Linked DNA regions of Lonchura striata. The protein of the gene in region 2 purifies or fractionates together with the protein of the main gene of each other region. This does not show direct contact. Links are inferred from orthologs where the notes say so. Each region holds a gene or a part of one and is shown on either strand. Other genes may lie near its edges.

What was found.
Region 1: the proteins of CKAP5 (region 2) and SLAIN2 purify together in Homo sapiens (affinity purification with mass spectrometry; 4 studies listed by BioGRID and IntAct, counting the BioPlex papers as one, with this or other methods). This does not show direct contact. The link is inferred for Lonchura striata from reciprocal best matches to the Homo sapiens genes CKAP5 and SLAIN2.

Annotation. Positions count from the first base shown.
Region 1 is NC_134606.1:25,852,013-25,859,134, reverse strand, and holds the start of SLAIN2 (SLAIN motif-containing protein 2), read right to left. Parts: upstream 3,014-7,122; 5' UTR 2,999-3,013; coding exon 2,640-2,998; intron 1-2,639.
Region 2 is NC_134608.1:38,861,014-38,868,884, forward strand, and holds the start of CKAP5 (cytoskeleton-associated protein 5), read right to left. Parts: upstream 3,006-7,871; 5' UTR 2,863-3,005; intron 1-2,862. Other genes in the region: LRP4 (low-density lipoprotein receptor-related protein 4), read right to left, coding at 7,677-7,871. UniProt on the Homo sapiens protein: Binds to the plus end of microtubules and regulates microtubule dynamics and microtubule organization. Acts as a processive microtubule polymerase. Promotes cytoplasmic microtubule nucleation and elongation. Plays a major role in organizing spindle poles.

The sequences.
Region 1 (7,122 bases), on a different chromosome or scaffold from region 2:
CACATTCTAGTATCAATTTCAATCACAGTATCAAGTGCTCTGTCTTAAATTCACAGCCACTAATCTCATGTGAGCATTAAATGTAAAACAATGTCATTTTAACAGTTAAAAAAATATTTATTCTGCCATGACAAAACTGCAGACAATTTCATAATGGGGTATGAAAATGTCTGTATTACACAAAACAGAAAAGAATAGCAATAACCAGCACCCTCTACAACCTATTGTTACCCACAGCAAGGTCCTTTTGAAATCAAAAGTAAAGACAAATCTTAACTTCTATGTGTAGACAAGCAAAACACGCAAGATGAATCAATTTTTTATGAACAAACAATGATTTAAATTTAGTTTGTTTCCACAAGAGGTGTCCTCAGCAGCTAAGAGATATTTGATTTTGACAGTGTGTAATCCCATATTTTAAACAGGATTTTGGGTTAATCCATTTGAACCTCAAAGAGTTCATATGAGACTTAAATTTCATTGAATACATTCACTCTTTCAGTTGATTAAATTATTTATGAAACAGTTTAAGGGAAATCCACTTATTCACACCAACCCCTCCTACCTTCACGGGCTTGTTTGTTTTAGATTGCTCCATCAGCCCTCTGAAAATTTCAAATTTCATTAAGACCAATAACCTCCATTAATCTAATGCATAAAGGCATCTTCCCTTCATAGAAAAATAAAAGGGATTGGACTATTTAGTGTCTCAACAGTTGAATTAGAAGGTGTTTAGAAATTCCAAGAGTTTAATTCCCACTTTAATTAAGCACTTTGGAACACGAAATCATCAATCTAGCCAAACTATGTTTATCATTAGTTGCAGATTAAACTACAGCAGGAAAACACTTTTTTTTAATAACTACATACCCATATTTTGTGATATGTATGACAATTAGCAAATTTTTACAGTTGCTTTTTTTGTTTCATGCATTTCTGTCTCAGTGTCCCATGCCCAAAATTAGCTGCTAAACACTTCAGCATTATAGTTGCCAAAATATTAGTAAAGGAATGAAGACCACCTGTAAGTTTTGCTGGTTTTTGAGCACTAGAACTTGCACAGAAACATGACAGTGCCACAATAACTGGCAGCCAGACACCTGACACCAGCAAGGGCAGTGCTCAGAGAACCATTTGGCTGCCCCGTGAGTACCCAGAACTGTGTCAACAAAAACACACGCCACTGTCACCACACATGCTGTCGGGACATTCACTTTCACCTAAGAGACTCATTATGCTACCCATGATTTAGAATGAATGTACAAAACAGTAAGATCTATTGTCACTAGAATTCATGACATTTACAAATTTGGCCATCCTACCCCAGACCTGCCGTGCAAATTTACCAGATTGTACTTCCATCAAGGGCTGTAGGCCCTTGTAGATTACAAGGCAAAAAGTAAGAAATAAGAGCAGCTGCCTTGCACAGACAGACTCATCTTCTGGGAGATGATGCCTTGTGTTAATTTAGTGCTGGATGAGAATAAACCTATGCTCTCATACTTCTCCAGTGGATCAGGCTGAATGTCAGGCAAATGACTTTGCCAAAGAAGTGCACACACTGTCTCCTCCCTGAGCAACTAAAACATTGCTCATGCATGGAATCAGTCCAGCATTTCTAAAGGCGTTTCTAACTCTACAAGACATTTTTGTTTGTTTTGTAAATTTGTCTCCATGTTTGCTCCCAGAGACCTTGCTAGATGGACCCACAATCGGTTCTGCTGCAAGACAGTTTGCTTGTATTACACTTTATGTCCCTGTACACGTTTCCCTTGCATCCCTCTGTTGACATGGTGTTGACATGTTATTGACACGGTGCTCCTCCCCACTATCTGTCCTGCAGCTCTGAGGCTGCCCCTCAACAACTCTCATAGGAAACTTCAAAACGACAGCTAGAAACAGTGTGATGTCTGGAGAGAGCAAGTCTTCTTGATTCTCAGTGGAAGCTCATCCAAGTGCGATAATGACAAGGCAAACAGCCACCTGCAGATGTTTCTGCTGGAGCAGCAGGGTAAAGCAGTCCATTTATAACGAGGAACAACCTAAGGGAAACCGTGATCCTACTGCATCATTAGCAATAAATTAGAACACCTAAGGGCAACGCGTTTATGAGATGAAAAAGTGTTACCTTTGCCATCTTTACAGCTGAAAGAAATCGAGGCATAAAAGATCCCTGATACATGTCTGAAGTCTAACAGTACCTGTGGGCTAGTTCTGAACTACCCTATAAATTTCCCACAAGTTTCTCCACGGCTCCCACCGCCTGCACGCCCGAGAACGCCGATGCTGACGCTGCGGCAGCACGGGAGCCCGCTCGGTGTCCGAGCGCCCCGAGGCAGCGCTCCCGCCGCGGCCCAGCAGAGCCGCGGCCTCCGGGGAGCTCCAACGCCGTGCGCAGAAAGCGAAACACCCTTCCCCGGCAGGCTTCGCTACGCCTCGCACAGCTCGTTAAGCCCTTCACCCAGCGCAGAGGGCGAGGCTGCCGCCGCACACAAAGCCCCGAGACCCCCTCCGACATCAGGCACAAGCCTGGAATCAGCCCCTTCCCCCCGGGCACGGCGGGGGCAGGGGGACGCGGAGCCCTGCCCGCCTCCTCACCGACCGCCCCCGCCCCATCCCCACCCCGGCCGCCTCCTCACCAGCCGGTCTCGTCCTCATCGCAGCCGGCCAGCCGCTCCAGCTCCTCCGGCCTGAGCACCGCCGCGTCGTCCAGCAGGCCGTTGCCGCCGCTGCCGCCATCGCCGCCGCCGGGCTCCTCGGGCAGCGAACGCCGGGCGGCGGCCCTGGGGCTGAGACAGCGGCCGTCGGGCGACGGGGAGGCGGCGGGCGGCGGCGAGGAGGGCCCGGCGCTCGGCAGGCGCTTGGGGCTGGCGGGGGCGGCGGGCAGGGCGCCGTGGCGGCTGCGAAGCTGTTCGTTCTGCTTCTCGAGCTTCTTCACCAGCTCCTGAAGCTTCCGCACCTCCGCGTCCGCGTTCACGCCCGAGCCCACATCCTCCATGGCGGCCGGCGGCGGCTGCGCGGGGAGAGGCGGCCGCGCCGCCCCGTCTACGCGGCCGGGCGGCCGGCGGCGGGGCGGGCCGGGGCGGGGCGGGGCGCAGGACGCACATCCGCCGCCGCCATGGCACCGCCTGCCGCGCTGCCGCCGGAACCGCCGGGCCTCGCCCCGCCTTCTGCCCGGGCCGCGCTGCGCAGGACGGAGGGGCACGGCACGGCACGGCACGGCACGGCACGGCACGGCACGGCACGGCACGGCGTGCCATGGCCGGCCATGGCCGAGCATGGCGCGGCTCGCGGCCCCGGCAGCGGGAGGCCGTGACTCGGCCCCGCCTGGGGCCGGCCGAGGGGCCCTTGCGGTGGGCTCCCTCCTGAGGGAGCGGCGCGGCCGGGCTGGCCTGGCCTCCCGTGTCTTGGGCATCACAGGTCCCAGGCAGGAGTTGTAGGGAAAGCCCGGAATACCTTCCAAAACCGTTCAGAAGCTCTAAAGAATACAAGGCGTGCTCATGGTCCAAAGCGTAGGTGATAGTGTTGGCCCTATTGTGCATGACGGATGTGTGAACCAAACATCCTTTGAGTCTACGTGTATAAATACATGCATATTCATTTAAAGGTTGTGGCGATTTTGCCTTCCATAGCAAAACTTACACCTTACACTTAATTCCTTTAAGTGTAAGGAATTAGTGGGGCTTGGGGATTTGTCGCAGAATCACAGGGTGGATAATGTTGGAAGGGACCACAGTTGTTGATCTGGTCCAACCTCCCTGCTCAAGCGGGGTCATTCTAGAGCTCAGGGCATACAATTGTGTTCACTGTGCAATGTGTTCCAGTAAAGAAGTTTTTCATATTCAGGTGGGACTTCCTGTGCATTGCTTTCTGCCCATTGCCTCCTGTCCTATTTCTTGGGATGTTTTATGTCTTGTGACAAGTTGTCTCCAAATTTCATTGGCTGGATTGTGGGGATGCTGTTTGTTCCCTGGTCCACTGAAGACAGTGTCCTTAGTGCCATCCTTTCACAATTTTTTTCCTCTTGTTATGTTCCATCTACTCGCCAGCTTCATTTTGGAGCCTGCTATAGCTGAGGAGAGGAAGAACACCAGCAAGTGGGCCAGAGAATAGCTGGAGTCTGCAGGGGATGATACCACTGTGAGCAGTTTTTACCAGGCTCAAGGAAGGGAAGAAGGAAAATAAAGACTGGGTTGCTCAGACCTGCAGGATGTGCTGAGAAGTTGCAAAGTTTAGGGGCATCTAATGGTACACAATCTGGGTTGTGTTAGGTATAGTGCATGGACTCTTGGCATGTTTAGACTGCCAGGCATGAGTTTACAGCATCCTTACAAGACTGGGTCACTTCCTTGCCTTACACAACACTCTCCCCTTATACATTGAAAGATTACATTCTCTGTATGTACAACATTATTTGAGGGTTTATTCTGGGGTGGTTTTGCATTGTTACTGTTAGCTTCTCACCAGAATCCAGGCCTTTGATCCATATATGGAATTTATGTCATTGTTTTCCCAAAACAATTATCACCTTAAGTGTTTAACTGTATCAAAAGACACCAGGGCTGGTATCTTTCAACAAAGCAATTTAATCACTCTTATGGTAATGTCTTTGTTATCTGAAAGTGAAACAAACTTTTATCAGTAGCAGATTTTGCTACAGATTTTGTATAATTCTCACAGCTATAAAACTACTAAGCACTTTTGGCCCATGAGCTGAGACCTTTGGCACTCTGCTCACTGACACCACGTTAATGACTATCATAACTCCTTAGAGATTGGTCTGTAAGTCAGTTTGTAAATCCAGCTTGTTCTTTATGTCTGTATGATATGGTACAAAGTCAAGTGCCTTAAGGGAATACAGATATATTCTGTGAGAACAGTTACTTATCAACAGAATTTACAATCCTCCAAAAGGCCAGGGAAACTATTATATAAAGGTTTTTTACATTAAGGTTCTTCCAGGACTCTGACACTTACAGTGACACTGCTGACGATTCAGTGGTTAGTGGGTCTTAAACTATGCAGGGAAGTTTATTCCAAATTAGAACATCTATATCAGGACCACACAATATAACTTCTTTATTCTTCTATAACAACCCTCAGGCCAAACATCAGTGGCACAAGAAACCCTCAGTCACTTCAATTAATCATGCTTTTATGGTAACAACAGGAGGAGTTTAATCCTTTCTATAGTGCAACTACTGGGATCAGGATGGGACTGGTGGCTCGATCTGGAAGTGTGACAGAGTGAAGTGGGGCTGTGACAAAGGGCTCTGCCAGGAGATGTAGACAGGCAGTGCAGTGGAGAGCCAGGACCACAGAGACGCAGGCTCCTGGGAGCTGCTGCCAACACTGCAGCTGTTCCTGGTGATTCTGTCATGTTTAGGGGTCTCCTCTGTTAAGTAATGGGGCAGCTCTGAGAACTCTTTAGTTATCAGTGCACTGCCTGCATCCTGCTCTACTCCTCTCCCTCCTCATCTCCTCTACTTCCTTCTCCCTTCCTCTTCTCCCAGTTCATTTAATGGTCTGTTTGTCCCCCAGATTTCTTACTCCAACCTTCTGTCCCCTGCTGACACCATTACTTTGCTGTCAGCAGCTGTAGCAATTTTTTCTCCTCACAAGACCCACTCCCTGCAGGTGTGTACAGACAAAGGGGGAGGAAAGTGAGAAAAAAGTAGCAGAAAAAAGTTTCAGAACTGCTGAATTATCTGCTATTTTTACAAAGAGTACGAGAAGTAGAAATGAATGGAGTCACTGCTTAATAGTCACCATAGACTGTGCTTTGAATAGCAGCAATCATGATTTCGCTTTCTCATTCATTCTTGTGCTGTGAGTACCCTTCTCATGTGCTGGGAACTGAAGAGCAGCAAGTCTTGGTCCATAAGCTTCCTATGAAATATCAGGTCAATAATAGGCTTCCACGACTTTCTTGTTGCTCAGATTCCAGGCTTGCACTGGCCAGATGTGAGACCACACCCAAGCAGAGGCCCCTGGGTGACTATACAGAAATAGTAATAATTGATGCTAATGCCACAAAAATGAAACCTTTCCACTGCATCACAAGAGCAAGAGAAATTCCTCTGTGTGTGAAATTAGATCTGTTGCAGATTTTTTTGTGAACAGCTGCGATTGCACCCACACTGTGTTTTTCCTTTTCACTGAGAAGGAGGAAAAAAGCAGTCTTTCCACAGTACTATTTTCCAGATCTCAGGACATGCATGGGTGCTTGTCTTGCCTGACTTGGGGCAGGTTCTAAACTCACGAGATGAAAGGAAATGAGGAGCAGTCTCTCCAAAGGAAAGGAAGTCTGTGCAAGGCTGTCATGTCACTCAAATAATTCAACACACCTTTTCTGATGAGTGGCTCCTAGAAGAAGGCCACCAGGAGCCTTGTTTTGCTGACCTTTGAGCTCCCTAGCATGGACAGCCCTATGGCTGGTTCTCACAGCAGTGATCTGCTGAATATTTTTCTTTACATCTGTCAAAACTGTTAGAATCTGACTTTGAAATCTTGATTTCACTTGTCACCTGGGAGGACAATCCCTCAGGGGGAATACTACATGAAGATGGGCAGATGCATGGTGGGAAGTTAACATTTGTTGTAAATATTTAACTTGATGCCTGGAAAACCGGACTGGTTTTTAAGCAGCTTTTTTTATTCTCCTGCAGAAGGCTTGTTGCCTGCCAGCCTTCTCAAAGGAGGTGTTCAACAGGCCCACACATGTTTGTGTTAGGCAGTGTTTAGCTAAACCTTTGACAAAATATAAAGTATTGTTTATCATTATAATATATGGCATGTGCAGACAATGAATACTGAGTGGAAGAAGCATGTTCCTGTCATAATATGTTCCTTTCAAAATTAAAGTCAGAACTATTACTCTGGTTCTACTAAAAGAACCAACATTGTAACTTCAGTTATTTTTAAATATACCTCTGAGTATATCAGGCTCTTCAGTGGTGAGACGACAAGTTTAGCCCTTTGGATTGGTGTTTGAAAACTAAAAAATGCAGTCATTGTCTCTGCACACATCTTCAGGACCCATCCCCTAAAAGCTTTAAACAGCAGTGAGGTGTGCATAAATACACTTTAAAAGTCTTTATAAAAATTTTTACAAAGTGTTTT
Region 2 (7,871 bases):
CCACCAGCACCAGCCACGCTTCCCACTGAATAATTGTCCAAGTTACATTTCCTACCACCTCACTCTACTTCTGCTTTTCAACATCTGACATTTGCAGCAATCGAGCTGTCATAGACAACCCCAGACAATGTACAAGTGCTCAGGTCAAGAGACTCTTTATTCAAACAAGCCAGAGCAACACTGCCCAGTGCAAGGCAATATTTAGTTTAAACAAAAGGGTACAAGGCTTTTTAATGTCACTTCAGAACTCCACCCATATAACAGGAACCACTGGGAACAGTCTACAACAAAGCATCAGCAAAGCAACACCATCTTAGTCTTGGACTATGTTGTCTTGAACCAACCACTCTGCTACAGATGCAAATGACTTTAATGCCATCCTACTCTGGCAGACTTGACAAACCATTTACATTAAATAGTTTACAAACAGATTAGCAATACAAGTTTATATATTTCTTTTATAAACCATATAAGGAGAGCTGCTGGTAGTGTGGGACGAGGAGAGGTAGGAACGGAAAAAAGGGAAGCAGATGAACACTGACCATGATTTTGAAAACCTTAATTAAAGGTTTGCAAGAATTTACATCTCTCAAGTGTCTTTCCAGTCATGCATCCTACACAACAAAATCCTCCAAATTAGGTAATTAAGATAGCTATCCCCACTCCACAAAACATTCATAGCAGTTTCTAATTGGATGCACTGTTCAAGATGTGTGTAAGTGATAAGAAGGGGCAAACAGAAGTGCTGCAGATGACAACTGGGTAGCAAAAAAAGAGAAAAGGTTGACTGAAGGAGCATACAACATGCTAAGTTGCTTTGTAATTTATCACCAAACACACAGAGTGAAGCAATTTATAACATTACACTGAAATTGACTATGAAATACATTCCCATTTTAGTAGACTCTGATATGAGAGCACAGACCCACTGTGGCAGACCAAGTTTTCAGAGGCAGAGGCACAGCTTACATAACTGGCCCATACAAGGGGAAGGGCAAGAGCCAGCATGAAAGTTAAGTCTGACAAAATACAAGTCCTATGTGTACAAGAACCAGGAATCATGTTCCATCACCATGCATTCCCTTTTTTCATATTACAATACCAAGGGAGAAACTGTCCATCAATACAGATCTAAAGCAGTCTGAATAACTCCCATACTTCTAAAATTCAAATTTATTTTTGTCAAGTCATCACATAATTTTTCCTAGAACAGGTCACCTAGTTAATCTATCCAACTTTGTGGTTTTGAGAATTACTTTCACTACATCTGCAACCATTTGTTCAGAAATAGTCTGTTTTACCTGAAGGCCATTTGCCAGCAATTCTACTTTCATATATCACTCTCTCAATGTTGCTTATAAGGCTTAGCCCTATCAGAATTCTTGGAGTAGAAAAAAAACCAAACAGTGAATTAGTAAGTTCAATATGGGGGGAAGCTATCAAAACAGCAAAGTTCAAAGAAAGGCCAAGCCTGAGGCAAGAAGACCAAACCAAATTCTAAATTTTGTACAATCAACTGATCTCATGTTGGACACTAAAGGGTCAACAGTATATAGGCAATCTGCACTCAAATCCTTCCATCTCCTGAGGTGAACCTTTCTCAAAGTTTTAGCAACAGACTTTTGTGAGTAGACCATTAGAATACTCCCATACTCGAGACTCCATGCATTCTGAACTAAGCAGCTTTACAGGTTCAAACTAATAGATTCACTGAAAGCCTATAGCAACTCTTTCTTTGATACACAAGTAATACATTAGGAAGGGCTCCCATTGCTGCTAGCTCAACATCCCAGCAACTACTCATGCCCTTCTCACATGCACAAGGCAACTTGAACTGCACTGCAGTTCAGCAGAAATAGCAAAAAATCAAACACTAAAATCAGCAAAAAGTTAAAAACCGCAGAATGATCAGATATATTACACACAACAAACCCAAATCAGTTAGAAGACTGTAGCACATATTGTTTTTAAAAATTTTTATTCTTAGAACAGAATCCCGGTTTGTTTAAGGCACATAGAAGTACCATTCCTCAACTTCCTGTCTTCCGACCCAAAAAGTGCCAGTCTGCCACTGACAGAGCACCAGATTCAGGAGCAAAACCCTCTGCACACCAGCCTGAAAAATACTGTCTTCGGAAGAATCATAACACTGTCTGTTTCAGAAACAAAATCAAATGAAATGCGGGAAAGGTGTGTGTGCAGAAACATGGTACACACACTTCTAGCCAGCATATACTAGAGAGGATTCAACAGGAGCATCTCCTAGTGAGGGGCTCTGGCAATCTTAACACTCGCACGCACCAACAGAGCTGCAGAAATAGGACACGAGCTCGCGCCTTTGCTGTTAGGACTACAATCACCCAGAGAACGTTTTCCTTCGGACATTCTAGAGGGGGAACCGATCCTGCACGCAGCCTCAGGGGACAGACGGCGCCCGGTCCGCATTTCCCTTAAGGGGTGCCCGGTTCCCCCGACGGCTCCCGGGCCCACTGCCCCGGCCGGCTCCCACGGAAGGCCGCCCTCGGCAGCCCCAGGCCCCAACGGACGGAGGCGCCGAGCCCGCGGCCGCCACCGGCCCCATCGCCCCGCGGCTGGCGGGCGGCCTGAGCGAGCCGCACCTCCGCGGCGCGGCGCAGGCCGCGGCCTCCCGCCGCTACCAGCCGCGACCCTCACGCCGCCGGGCTCTGCGGGAGGATGCCGCCGCAGCCCGCGGGCCATCCCCGTGGGGAGATGTCGCACCACAGGGACTGCGCCTGCCCTCGCTCCCCGGGAGAGACCGCGAGGCTCGGGCCTGGCGGCGGAGGAAGGCCTAGCCGCCCTCCCACGGGCGCGGACAGCGAACGGAATAGGGCCCGAGCTCACCGGGGAAGGAACGAGGACAGCGGGGTCTCCCCTGGGCCCGGGGGGTCGGGCCGGTGACGGTCCGGCGGCTGCTCGGCGGGGTTTGAAATCGCCAGCACCGCCCGCACCTCCCAGTGTCCGCCGCACCCATTGGCCGCAGCCAGCCCCGCCTGCGCTGCCGCCCGCGCCTCTTATTGGCCCGTTTGAATCCGGCAGCCGCAGCGCGTGCTCTCCGCGCGCTCCCGAGACGGCGCCGGGGCGGGGGGAGCGCAGCGCCGGGGCGGGGGGAGCGCGCAGCGCCGGGGCGGGGGGAGCGCGCAGCGCCGGGGCGGGGGGAGCGCGCAGCGCCGGGGCGGGGGGAGCGCAGCGCCGGGACCGGGGGAGCGCAGCGCCGGGGCGGGGGGAGCGCAGCGCCGGGACCGGGGGCGGCCTCCAGCGGCAGCGGCCCGGGCGCACCCCGCTCGGGAACTACGGAGGCGTGCCCGCCCGCTCTCTCGGCCGCCGCCGTGTCCCCAGGGAGGCAGCACTATGGGGCTGCCGGGCCCTCTACGGCCGGAGCAGCACCTGGCGAGAGGCGCAGGTCCTAAGGCAGCCGGGTGACGCTGCGGGACCCGCTGGCAATGGACTAAAGCATCTCGGAGCTGATGGATTCGGCTTTGAGGAAGATCCTGTTACAGAGGAATGGACCTTCTCTTCTTTCCTATGGTCAGTGAGTTTGCAAAGCAGCAACTCAAGAAACGGCTGAGAGGGGACCTCATCAATGTCTGTCAGTATCTGAAGAGAGGCTGACAGGATGGAGCCAGGCTCTGCTCGGTGGAGCCCAGCAACAGAGCAAGAGGAAAAGGGCAGAAAGTGATGCACAGGAAATCCCACTTGAATAGGAGGAACTTCTTTCCTGTGTGGGTAACTGTGCACCGCAAGACGGCCCAGAGAAGTTGTGGAGTCTCCCTCACTGGAAATCACAGGATTTATCTGGGCACTATCCTGTGCCGTGTACTGTGGGGTGACCCTGCTTTATCAGGGAGGTTGGCTCAGGTGACCCACAGTGTCCTCTCCACCGTGACCTATTCTGTGAACTTTTTTGGAGCACAGTGTGTTTTCTCTCCTGTTTCTTCACTTCAGCTTAAAAAATTGAAGGAACAATTTTTATGGGTGATAAGAATAGAAGACAAAGGGACATCGGAATGCCATGCACACAACTGCAGTTAATCTTACACTGCCTTCTCACCACCATGGCCACGTGAGCACCATCAATTTTTTGGAAGTCAGGCAATTTTTTCATGAACTGACTGAAATGGCTTCTGCACAGTGCTTCAATTATGAAATGAGCAGAAATACAGTTGTTTTAATTGTTTTAGGTAGTTCTTTCATCAGAAAGGGACAGAATGTGTTACAAGATTGTCACTAGTACTGCAGTGTCAGTTATTAGTGATGTTTCATTCATTACTCAGCTTTTTACACTATTTAAACTCTTGGTTATAAATAAAGGCAACAGGAACTTAAATAAACACTCCCTACAGTAAGAAAAACAGCTCTTCAGAATTTTGTTCTGAAGCAGAGGCTTGAGATGTCTACAGTTCTAGTACATGCCAAAACGAACAGCCCCTTCTGTCGCCATGTTAAAGAGGGGGAGGAAAAAGCAAGGTGGGGCAGAGTGAGAGGTATTATGTGTGTGAAAGGATCTTGGGCCCTTGATTCAAAATCATAGGGGTACAGTGTGTGCTACAATCACGCTTCTAAGAACCTAAATCTGTTCCTACCTTCTTGCTCCTCTGAAATGAAGCAAAGCTGAGGTTCTGTCTGAACAGGTTTAGGAGTTCCTCATTCAAAGGAGAGTCCAAATAACATGCATGATTCACAACCAGAAGCCAGGCAGAGTGGTTAAGAAAAGCTAAATTTATATTAAATTATCATCAACCCCTAAAATATTGAACACAGTGGTTAAATAACTCCAGAAAATCCAATGTCTCCAGTGAGTAACGTTAAAACCATTACACAGGAACACATGGAAATCACTGACGTTAGCTCAGGACAGACAGGAAAGAGGTTTGCTTTTTACACAGTAAATCAGTGCTCAAGAGATCTTCCTCCAGTAGCCTTTCTACATTCTTAACATCCTAAGTGCAACGAGGGTCTTCTCTTCCCCAGACTGGGGAACCACGATGCATCCCCAAGGCAGCATCTCACTGGGGCTGTCTCTAGAAAAAAGACACAAATTTCTGCCCACCTCACTGGTAGAAGAGGCTGTGTGACATTTTATTGCTCCTTTTCACCATAATCATTTTAGGAAGGGATTAGAGAGCAGTTATGAATAGTTGTTAGGCTGGAGTGCACAGGGTGTCTCCTAAGAAACAGCAGAGAATATTGATCAGGGTGGAGATCACAAACACCATGAGTTGTTGAAAAGACTGACTATTTTTCCTTTCCCTTCCACACTTGTGACTTGAACAGCAATTACTCTGACAGGCTGACTTAATCTTAAGTGACAGGTCTGGGCAGATGTTTCCCTTCACCCCTGTCCCACCTCAGGATTTTGGTGCATGGTCACATAAGCAACCCATTCCAAAACCCAAAGAAACCCAGCTCTCCTACAGGTCAGAGCTTTCCTCCCCAATCTCCCCACTCCCAGCCCTGATGCCCCTGCCCCAACACATGGTTTCTGCTCAAATTGATTCTTCTGCTTATGCTTGAGCCCTCTGGTGTTGTCCCTGCGTGAAGTGGCTTAGGTGGGCAGGGCCCATTGTCAGTGATATGCACTCCTTTCTCAGTTCCCAGTCAAGTCCACACCTCAACCCAAAAGTGCCTCTGCCCAACAAAATCAATGCTTCCAAGGCTGGAGTCAAACAAATAAATAATTAAATAAAAATCTAATTAAAAAAAAATAAAAGTAAATCCCTCTGGGAGTAGGGAAGAGTCCCACAATAACACAGGGAAACCCAAACCTTAGCTCCAGTTCATTTTCCACAGGAATATACACCAGTCAGCCCAATGGTGCAGTTAGGGACAGAGTCTCAAGCCACCTAGCCAGGTCGAAGCTGCAACCTTCCCCTGTCTACAAAGCTACCTCTGCTGTGAAAAGTACAGGCAAACTGCTATGTTTTTCAGGGGTAGCAGGCCTGTTAGCATATAAACAAGGTTTGAGCAGAGTAGGATGATTCTCCTTTTTAATCAGCTGAAAAAGATATTGCATGGGAGATGTACCCTCCCCCCACCTCTGAACCATACCCCAGTGTATGTTTCGCTCTCTTTACACCATGGATGGGAATGTACTTGACCTCTTTCCATGAGATAAAAGAGGTTACAAAGTTTGCAGTGAGAAATTCTTCACTGGGAAATTCTGCTTCCAAGGATCTGACTTAATAGTAAATATTATACCATATGATTTGAGGGGTTAATATAAATTTTGTTTTTGAAGAAATGTCAAGCAATATTTTATCTTTCTTCTTTTTGAACAAACAGATGACAAGAGAGTATGAAGAGGTGGCAATAGTCATTGGGAGCATGCAAGACCCAGCTCCAGATGTTGCCGGGTTTTGGCTGCAAAGGTAGAATGACATTCTCTAAAGGGTAAGAGTCTTGGAGGTCAGAGAACAACTGAAGCTCATGCAGCTGATGGGAAAAATTATTTGGCAAGGAGAGCTATTTAGTGGTAACAGAAGAACTTAAAGTGCAATTCTATCTGATAAACAACTACTTAAAATGGTCCTTGCAGCTCCCTGATTATTGTCTCCCATTCTAGGTCAAATGGGCTCAGCCTAGTAATAAAGCAGTTCCTAACTGTCAGCACTGAGCATTCCCCTGGGAAAGACTCGACCTAGGAATTTTCTCTTTTCCCTTATTATGGTAATCAAAGGTCCTAAAGGCTAAAATAATTGGGACCTTGCAGAATTGGGACTAGTGGGGACCTAGCAAATTTTCTTTTTCTTTTTTTATATATCAGTTATGCAAAGATGAGTAAAATATAGGTCTTGCTGAGATCCATTTCCCCCCATTAGCTCTATAGAGCTAAGTAAAACACTAGTTTCTTCTTGTCTCAAGTTCAGCACTAGGACTCCAGTACTCAGGGAACAATTCTGAAAGGGGCATTTGCTGACTCTTGTTTTTCCAGAGTAGAAACATGTTTTAACAGGAAAGGGGAGAATAAGAGCAGTGTCCACTGCCAGCAACAGACACAGTGCTCCAATCTGAGCATTCCTTAAAGTTTTTAGTAGCAGATATGAAAGTAAGCAGTGAGGCTCTCATTAAGTGAGTCCTGGTTATTCTCTTTACGCCTTTACAAGGTGACCTGATGCTGTGTCAGTGTCCTCTTGAGCCCCAAAGCATATCCCATCTATACCAAGACCTCTCTCATGTCAGAGACGCCTCAACACAAAGCCTCAAAGAGTGCTGCTAGTGCTGGAATGACATGGAGTACTTCTGTGACCAGGAGCCAGCAATGAGGCAGCTCTGCTCTCTTCATGGGCATTGACCAGGGGCTGGATGGCATAGGACTTGCAGATTGCCAGGGAACAGAAACTCCCAACCAGACTCAGGCCAGACGAGTCGCTGCAGAAGTTAATGTGGCAACTTCCAGGAAAAGGGAACATATAAATAAACCACAGACAGTGAAAATGAGTCAAAAGGGTCTCTGGGTTTCCACCAACCCACCCATCCTCCTTCTCCAAACACAACAACACAGCTGCCGAAGCTCCATGCTGAAAGGCAGTCCCAGTCTCAGGCCCCTCGTAAGAGAGGCTGATCTCTGTGCCCTTCCTTGCCAGGCAGGCAGAGTCCTGTCTTTTTTGTGCAGAGCAGAGGGTAGGGAGGGTGCAACTGTTTCCAAAGCCACTTGTACTTTAGACCTCGCTCTCTGTGGAGGGCTTGCGTTGGTGTTTCCAGCCTGTGTCTGGGAGTGAGCCCCTCCGCTCAGGAGTGGCTGCTGCTGTGTTAACACTGCTGCATTCAGACTGTTCTTCCTGTAGCAGCTGCTCAGTTTCAGTGTCATCCAGTGAACCAGAACTGGCCTGGATAGAGACCGTATCCGTCTTCAT